2 linked regions of the Neodiprion lecontei genome follow. The protein of the gene in region 1 binds, or shares a complex with, the protein of each later gene. Links are inferred from orthologs where the notes say so. Each region holds a gene or a part of one and is shown on either strand. Other genes may lie near its edges.

The links. Proteins that work in one complex are often made in the same cells at the same time.
Region 2: mediator of RNA polymerase II transcription subunit 12 (region 1) and cyclin-dependent kinase 8 share a complex: the UniProt entries of both Drosophila melanogaster proteins name them as parts of the cdk8 module of the Mediator complex. The link is inferred for Neodiprion lecontei from reciprocal best matches to the Drosophila melanogaster genes kto and Cdk8.

The regions. Positions count from the first base shown.
Region 1 is NC_060263.1:25,699,868-25,704,802, reverse strand, and holds the start of mediator of RNA polymerase II transcription subunit 12, read right to left. Parts: upstream 3,026-4,935; 5' UTR 2,536-3,025; coding exon 1,992-2,535; intron 1,319-1,991; coding exon 660-1,318; intron 1-659. Other genes in the region: presenilins-associated rhomboid-like protein, mitochondrial, read left to right, coding at 3,568-3,614, 3,713-3,899. UniProt on the Drosophila melanogaster protein: Component of the Mediator complex, a coactivator involved in regulated gene transcription of nearly all RNA polymerase II-dependent genes.
Region 2 is NC_060263.1:23,752,413-23,757,168, reverse strand, and holds the start of cyclin-dependent kinase 8, read right to left. Parts: upstream 3,080-4,756; 5' UTR 2,996-3,079; coding exon 2,865-2,995; intron 2,596-2,864; coding exon 2,493-2,595; intron 669-2,492; coding exon 558-668; intron 1-557. UniProt on the Drosophila melanogaster protein: Component of the Mediator complex, a coactivator involved in regulated gene transcription of nearly all RNA polymerase II-dependent genes.

The DNA.
Region 1 (4,935 bases):
GTCTACTGATTGTACAGACTAAGAATAGATTATCTTAGTCAAAGCTGATGAGGCACAAGCAATATTGAACAGGATACGAAATAAAAATCCTCATTGAGTCATAAATTTGTTGAAGATCAATTTAACTAGATTGGAAAAGCTTCCATTCTACTCACTTTCCTTAAATACAAACCACTTGGGTATATGTTCAAAGGTTTCTTCTGGATAAGCATTTCAAAAGTGTCTCTTGTAATAATATTCTAGTTGGCCAATTTATAAAATCACATGTAAGAGTTTATATGAAAAAGTGCACTCCTATTTCGAGGTGGGTTAGTTCTTGATGAAAATAATAAAATACTAAAATAATGATTTTGCAAGTTCTACCTTTAGCAAATGTGATAAGTAATAACGAAGCATAAACATAGTTTATAAAAGTTAATTTCTAATGAGGGAAGAACGACTGATTATCTTTTATGAAGAACGATCGTTAGATGCGTTTAAATGCGTGTTTCTAAAATAAATTTGTCGTTCTCAAGTTAGTTTCTGCACCAAAGACAGTGTTCTTCAAAAACCTTTGTGTAGAGTAGTTGTATGTGTTTATATTATTCGTCAATTAAAATGACTTGTGTCTAATTTGGTGACAACCAAATAAAACTTACCCTACATAATTAAAAAGGTACCTGAATTATAGCCGATAATCCCAAGATTATGTCTCTGTGATGTGGACAGTTAATATAGTCGTTGAAAGTCACGGTAAATGGATTAACCGGCATTGGAGCAATGGGATTCTCTTTTATATTACTCACTTCTGATTTTACAGAGGCAGTGACCATAGGACTTTGAGGATTATTGCTGTTTTCTACATTGCTGCACATCTGTGCGATTTTACGACAGCATAAGTATGCCAATTTTCTAGCTAACAACTCCGACTGAACAAACTCTTCTAGATATTGCAAAGCCAATGGTAATAAGAGCTTCAAAATCCCATCATCCAACGGAGCAGATCTCATTTTATCGAGAAGTTCTAAGATCCATTGTAACAGTTCTTGCCTATCGAGCAATCCTTCCTCAAACATGTATTTGGCTAATTGAATACAGTAATGCCACTGTTTAAGTGCTAATTTATGATCTTCGTTCATAGCTGGACCCACAGTTGTCCCAGGATTTGGGTTTGGTGTAGTTGGTTGATTATTCACAGTATTATTGGTGCTGTTATTATTCAGATTACTACCATTGGTACTGTTGCTCATGCCATTAGAGATATTGTGATTCATGTGATAATATTCTTGTAATTTGGTCAGCTGATCTTTTAGAAATTTTATTAAGGTACCAGTCCATTCTAAAAGAAAAATAAAGGATCAATTGTATTTATTGCCCCATAAATATTTATTTTCACTCTACTTAAATTTATAGATTATTTGAAATAAGAAAATTCATACCAACCCGATTCATAAGTTCATTGATGAGAATTCAACAAAATAATTAGTATGTATGTAGGAAGCTAAGTTCTGATGAATGTGAAGTCAGTCAAGTTAAAGTAACGAAACATTAAATAAGAAATCACTATTCTACAACTGTAGAATGACCTTGAAAGAGTTGAGTTAATAAAATATGAGTCTAATTTGGTTCATTATGCTTTACTGATTATAATTTCAGACAAACCTCTAGTTGTGGAAAAACGAATTTTTCTAAAAATGCATTACTACATTAAAATTACTTTTTAGTACCCTTTAATATTTCAAATGGAATTCTAACAGTCTTTTATGACGTATGATATAGCATTTCGTCAAATTTGTAAAACAACCTGTGAATATTGAAGATCAATAATGATAAACTAAAAAACAATGTGTGATTTCTATTTTCCAGTCTGTACCCATTTTGTGAGTATAATAATTTTGGATCAAGTGTTCGAGATATCTGTCTGACTCATATAATGAAAATTACAAATCTGATAGATTGTAACAACACATATCGTTTTATTATTTATTGTACTTTTCTGTTTTGAACCTTACCAGTTGTTGGATCAGGTAATTGTCTTTTCTTAATTTTTGCTTCAGAAACAGCAACGGTATAAGCAGAACTTAATTTAATAAACCAAGCGGCTCTCAGCATCGGTACTTGATATTCACATAACATCATAAAAATTTCTTCTTTCTTGTTAAAATTAGGGGCTTTCTTGGCCAAGGCCAGCAAAGGCTTACAGCCAGACAGATCTTTGAACCAAGCTTCAATCCCATTTTTAGTTCTGGCAGTTACAGGCCAAAAATTATCCTTAGGATTAATCTGCTGTCTCTTTCTTCCCGTATCAGGCATCGTGGCAAATTCTTCTTTCTTAGCAAGTATACCGTTGAAATATGCACCAACTTTTGCAGCAGTGACATTACATTGCTTGGCTGATCCAAATTCATCGGATAATTGAGGCATTGTAGCAAAACCATGTTTAACGTTCACTAGTGTAAGCTCATCCTCCTTTTGCTTAGGCTCTTGTGGATATACGTCGGGAGGGCCTAATCTTGGCCTTTTTAAAGGCCGTTTTTCATACAATATGCTCATCATGGTAAGTAAAAACCGGGATCAAAGACAACAGGAACCCATGTACAGTTCACAAATTTAAAGTGGAATTAAACGAGACTATAACCTTCAAAATAATATAAAAAAAAAAATTATGTCGAAGCTGGCGATCAGACAATTAGTTAAACACACATAAAGTTCACAAAACTTTAATAAAACGACACAGGATGAATGAATATATACAGCATTTTGAACGAGAGATCAATGCAATATATAACCTTTAAAAGTTGACAACGTAGAAAAAACAAAAAAAAAATTAATTTTCATTGCTTACAGAAAAATAGATCGTGTATAGTAGCAGAATACTGTTTTTTAATATATACATGGTTAAAACCGTATTTTAAACTCTGTAGGCGATTAAAATTTCACCGAACTTGTCATCCTTGGGGCAAGTTGCCCACAACGCCATCTTGGCATTTTCTACGGTTACACAGCTTTAAATGACTACGACCTGAGATAAGCCGCCTACACACTAAAGAATTCCCTAGGTGTGAGACGGAGTATCATTGATAATCTGGTAGAGCAAGAGTGACGCAAAACTTCTGTCAGTGCTGCCAGAAAATAACTGTTAATAACGGAACCTTACAGCACCTTACAGCATATAAACATGTGTATATATGCACTAAGAATTACGGACGCAGTCGTTGTCAAATTCAGAGTGTCAAATATATGGTTATGTGCAATGGTGAAACCGTTGTAACGTTGGAAAGCACGCGTGGTACGGTGAAGTTTGCATTAAGCCTGAATTTTCACGGGCGGCGAAGTGCTGCCACAGCATTTTGCTGCAGAGTTCTTGACCAATAGAACCGCCAATAAAGCAGGAAAGCACTGTCTGTTGTGCGCTGAGTGCGAATCTTCTATTTTATCGTCATTCCTATTGGCAAAGAATTGTGGAAATTCACACTAAAGTATGCATAACCGGGCTTCCGTATGAAATTGACAATGTAGTTAAAGATAGTAAAAATTGATATAAGAGTACACAAAGTGAACGAAAGAATAACTATTTCCTATACAATTATGGCCACGCAGGCGTTGCTCAATTTTGGAAACATGTCGGGCAAATGGTAAACACTAATACAAAACGGCATCGTTGGTAAATTTTGGTTATGTGACGTCATGCGTCTGAAGCCGATACAATATTTTGATTCCTCTCTTTAATCAGGCTACTATCTGGTGTGCAGTATCACAAACCAAAAGCCATGTCGCAAACCACCCTGCACCATGTGAGGTATTTTCGAAGAGTAACCGATGCTTCCAAACAAACCAAATCGCCGTTTACTAGTGAACTTACCAAACCAGGTCCTATTCACCTCACAAGACTATGGAAGCCACTTGGTTTTTCTATTATGGTAATTCTCTCTTTATTCACAATAATTATCGCAATTTTTGGATAGTTTAACTTCTCGCTCAAAGTCGAAAAGAATGATTAATAAAAAGAACATATATGACATGATCCGTAACTCTGATCAATCTTCACGAGTAACCCTGCAAAACTGTTCCGTGCCAACAATATTAGCCACAAATTTGTTAGTGGAACTGCAAAATTTCGCTAGTGTTACAAATTTTGAGCACTGTTGGACAGTTGTACAGCTGATGGTGATCGAATCTTCATTAACGCAAGTTCTGCTAGCAGTAAAGTGATGTTAGTTTTTATATCATGTAAATCCATAGGCTGAGCCTCTTTCATTATTAGTTCTTCTTTATTAGCAAGCATATACTTCAGAGTGTAAACAGATACAGAGTATCTATCACTAAAGAATTTCTGGAAAACCAAGGAAGATTTGGAAATTTCACACAGTTTGAAACTATTAGCGGAATGTCAGGAAATTCGACCACGGTTCCTAGAATTGTACTAATTTCTTCCTTTAATACTGCTCCAAGGCGAATATTCTAGTCAATGCACACTACATCTGTAGAAAACAAATGTGTAGTACAAAAAAGTACATAAATGAAACTTGAGTTTTTGTTAATTTAATGAGAAATGTTAAATTTTGCTGATAATTATAATTGAACACTAAAATTAATTCACATTACTGAATGCATATTTCTGAATTCAAATAATTGTTAGGTACGATTTTCTTTCATGAACATCCATATACCATGACGTATTTCTTTCGAGTTGAAATGCTGAACAATTATTGAAATATCAAATAATTGAAACTGAGCCAAATTAAATTGAATATGAAAAAGATTGACTATTTTCATTTATAATTAAAATATAGGTATAAAGCAATGAATTTGAATAAGAAAAGCAAGTTCGTTCAATAAGAGTAGTTCAGATGTATCTTAAAAAAAATCAATGTTTTTTATGGGAAAACTAGAAAATGTGTGGGAAATTAATATGCCATTCACGCTGGATACCCTGAAACTCCTCCTAAACCACTA
Region 2 (4,756 bases), about 1.9 Mb from region 1:
TCAACAATAAGTGAAATCTATGAAGTGTACAAACTATTTTCAGAGGCTGTAACTGGGAGTCTTTTTCTTAATATTCTATGTTACGTCTCAGACAAAAAAGTATGCTTAAATTTAAAAAATAAAACTTCTGGCCAATCTGTAAATACCTTACTCCCAGCATACAGTGCCAAAAAGTATATGAATGCATGGAATTCTCTGAGGAAAGACCGCTAGTATTATAAAGTAATAATTTTCTTTCTATATCCTTGGTTTTATATTACAATATTGGATGACGTGATATAAGTATAAATTGGGAAAGGAACACAGAAATAACACAACAAATGATCATGATAATATCGTGACCATTCAGAACCAGATCAGAAATGAATACTAAAATATTACGAATAAGTATTAGTACATGTCAAGTATGACTGTACTAAGGAACGGTAATATAAAAGAAGATTTGTGAAACTTAATTCATTTCATGGCTAAAAACCCAAAATTAAATTATGATTGTAAAATATAAATATTCTGATAATGCATTTTAGATTATAAAACTGTATTGAATATTGACATACCCATAGATCATGCTCTGCAAAATCAAAAAGCAGCCAAACCTTCCGATCATTGTGTGATAGAAAGACACGTATCAATGTTATGACGTTTGTATGTTTCAATTCTCTAAGGAGCTATAAGATTTGAGGGAAAAAAACATGTCGTTATTATCCAAAAATCTTGTGTACAGATTATATTTCAATCTGAGTGTTTTGGATATAGGTTACACAAGGTATCCAGTGACAAAAAATGCAATATTTTCGACGGGTTGACGATTCACTTTTTCTGCAGAATTGAACGATTCTAGTAATAATCATGTCTACTTCTGAGTCAACTCCAGCCTTCAACTAATTTATAGTTTAAAATAACTATTCAATCAAAAAAACTAATCTGAGTTCAAATAGTGACTATACGAGTTACCAAATAAACTTGGTAAACATCTGTGAAACTGACATAGTCGCACAAATATTTTAATCAAGATCCGCTAGAATTGACAAATTTCTAGGTCTAAAATTCTGTATTTTCAATGAGTTTTCTTTGTAATGACAAATCATGGAGTAGACGACACATGTTCATAAAAAAATGAAGCCCACAGTAAAGGTTCTGCTGTCGGTAGCGTAAAACCGCTTACTTTACTTTAAGAGCTTCCTATCAATGTACAGGTTATAACGTAGAACCATGATTACGGTTTTCAGAGGCAGATAATGTGTAATAGTGATATATATGTAATTACTTATACATATGGCATTGGCATAGATGAGTACATGTATTTAAATCAGTAATCTTGTGCAGATAAATACTTCATGGGAAATTTGCTAAATTCCACCATTTCTTCTAAGGGAAGTTAATGGTTAATCAATGGTAACAGCACCACTTTTTTTACACAATAATGGGATCTAATTTTCAGCACTCTACATGAAGAATATCCACGATTTGAAAAATTTCAATATTTACATTTACTAAATGCTTTAAAATCTCAAGTGAAAATCTTTCACCAAAAATTTTTGCACAGGCTTGGAAATAAAGTACATTGGACTAAATTTTTGCAAATTTTCTGACTTCCCCTAAAAAGGCCCAATCAAAGGACTTCAAAGGGTTCAAAGCTGATATGTGTATTTTAAAGAAATATAGGACAATATAGATTTCAGATATTTCCAAAAAAAAAAAATCATTTTTTTCTAAAGCAATAATACTTTCTCTGGTCACTTTAGCATTTTTTAGTTACCATTAGGAACATCAAAATTGAGGAAAAAATTTTATATTATAGTTTCTACTGACATTTTATTTCCGCATCTTAGGATCCTCTAATTAATTTTAAATACCTAACTTTGAAATGTCTCAATTCACTGAATCTATCATCTCTGTGGAAATTATAGCAAAAAAAACTAAAAAAAAACTTATTCAACAAGTTTTTCATCAAGTTTTAGGGATTAGTTTTCATCAAATATTATTGGTTACTGATACTGCCTATCCTCTTGGAGAAATTAAAGGAAACTTCACCCTCAGTGAAAGGCTGACTTTAGTGAAGACCAAGTGTTATGAGTGACTGGATCATTACAGAGTTTTGATGTATATTCCACAATACATTCCGACAATTGTCTGACTTTTGCAATCCAGAAAGTTTGAGGTTTTTCAATACTCTTAACTTTTGAAGACTTTGGAACCATCGAAAACTGATACATGGTGGTATTGTATCAGAAACAACTTTCAGTGACATTTCACAAAGAAAAAACATGTGACCCAAGTCACTTTTAGCAACTGCAGTGAAAGAGATGCCACTTGGTCTCTTTAGCGACAGATCTCAACATCAATCAGCGAAGGACCTATTTCTGTATTTCCTCGCTTATAGCTAATGACAATTTGTAGATAGCTTAAAATCGCCAGTCATTTCCCAAGTGTTATGCAAAAGTTAGAAACGTTTAAATCAAAATGTCATTATGTACAGTTGCTCTACTCACTGCTATCTCGCGACATGCTGACATAGAAAGCCCAGTCCCTTCGATTTGTTTGAGACCAAAATCTTTAGTATCAGGACGTGATTTTAACTCGCTGTCAGGAACTCTGAAGTAAAAAAATCTGTGTTTAATAAGATTTTAAATGTGGAATGATACAAGAATGTTGAATTGGCAACCAGAAATACTATAATATTGGTCAAAATTAAAGACGTATGAAGTAACAGAAAACGTAAAAACTATACAAAACTTAATTTTGACTATTCGGACTTTGTCTATTTATATTGCTCAACGGTTCATACAACTTGTATTGTAAATATTCGATCGTGGAACGTATCACTTGAGTATTGAAGGTTAGATAAGTTAGAATAAACTAACCCTTCTTTTCTCCTCGCCTTATATACATGACCGTACGTTCCCCTTCCAACCTTGCAGCCTTCAAATTCGAACAAATCTTCAACTTTCGTACGATCTTTCTGGGTTTTTACTTTAAATTCATAATCCATCATATTTGATGTCAGTACATACAAACTAAATTATGACATCTTTCAATCCAAGTTGCAGGCTGGGCTGAATTTTCACGGGCGTCAAATTGATGCTGCAGCGTCACGCCGTCGACGACAAGGGAAACGCTCGTGGAATGCCGCGCGCCAAAAACTCAAAACTACAGCGTTGAGTTAGCGGTCTTCATAAACGTTTTTATCGTAAGAATTAAAAACTCTAAGATTGTTAATTAGAAGCTTAGAGCCGATAGACATAGAGGAAGGAAGCAACACGCTGAAAAAGTGCCCCCGAGCCAATAAGAGAGAGGAACGTCGTAATAATACATGAGGTCTTCTTCTATGGTAGGTGCGAACATATCGTAATTGAGTGCCGTGATATAATCCGAATGATATGAATACATATTATACACTAGTGCCTATTGGTCAAGTTATTGAAATAAACAGTCAATAATATCAATGTTTAGCATATTTTCAAACGAAACAATATAACTTATAAATCTGGAACGGGCATTTGCCCCGAAAAGTCCGATAGAAACGCAACGTTTCAGCGACATGATTTTAGTAAATAAATGAAACTTAATAGGTATCTTTGTACAACAATAGTAACACTTCAATGCCTATATGCTTCCGGTATGTGACTACGGACACGTCAAACTAACAAAGCCTTAGAGCCAGGCACCGGGGTTCTGTGGTACGAGCGTGAGTGCTGCCTGCAAGCTTAAAAGCATTCTAAGCCTGCAAAACAGAAAAAGAATGTAGTACTACTTCCTTCTCGTTACCATTTTCCACTTACACAGAAGGGTGTACCAGGCTCCCTCCATGTCTATATCCTCCAAGATTGGAAGTAACGAAATAAATCACAAATATATTGACAAAAGATGTATTGCAGCAGGAATGATTTGGAAGAAAATTGACTGCAAAGTTTCATTGGTCAACATTGTACATACATACCGCGAGAAATAAAACAATCACATCATTCTTACACAATAATACTTAAAACACTTAAACTAATGTTGGTAACGGAAGTTACGTCGGAAACACTTGGGATGCATCGGAAATACCAACTGAAGTAATTCCGACGTAACTTTTGCTACCAACATCGAAATCAATTTGTGCTAGAATCCTCATAATTTTAAACAGATCCTTGATAAGTCCTGCAAAAGTCGATTGGGAAGTGCCATGAAATATTGCTGATCGAGGAAACATTTCACCTCAAAAAAGACACACTACCAAGTCACCTGGGGTGAGATATTTTTCCAATCAGACGTTTTACACATTTCAATTCGATTTTAACAGGATTTACGAAGGCTTTATTGACAATTTCGGAAATCATAGCAGAAATCGCTTCAGATGTTGGTGAAAAAAGTTTCATCGGGAATACAAAAGATTTGATTAGCTGAAACAGACAAAAAGTTTTATTAGCTGAAACAGACGAAGTTACGATTAGCACAATGAAAAAAGTGCGTGCATCGACAAAAACTATGTCGAGCCCAATATCAACATTTGTGAAAACAGTCTTCTACTCTAGCATTTCTATGATTCAAGAAAAAGTCTACATGTTTTTAATAAAAATCTGGAATTATTAGCATAAATATTTTGTTCGAGTAAGGACTTGTAAAAAACGGTATGCTTGTAAAAAAAATTAGTTCATTACCTTGAAAAAAAAATAAAATAAAATCACCAAAAAAATACTTTTGTACACTTCAGGTATGTTTTATAAATACTCACGACAAGATTCTCTACTATCACTGTACACTCTGCAATTTT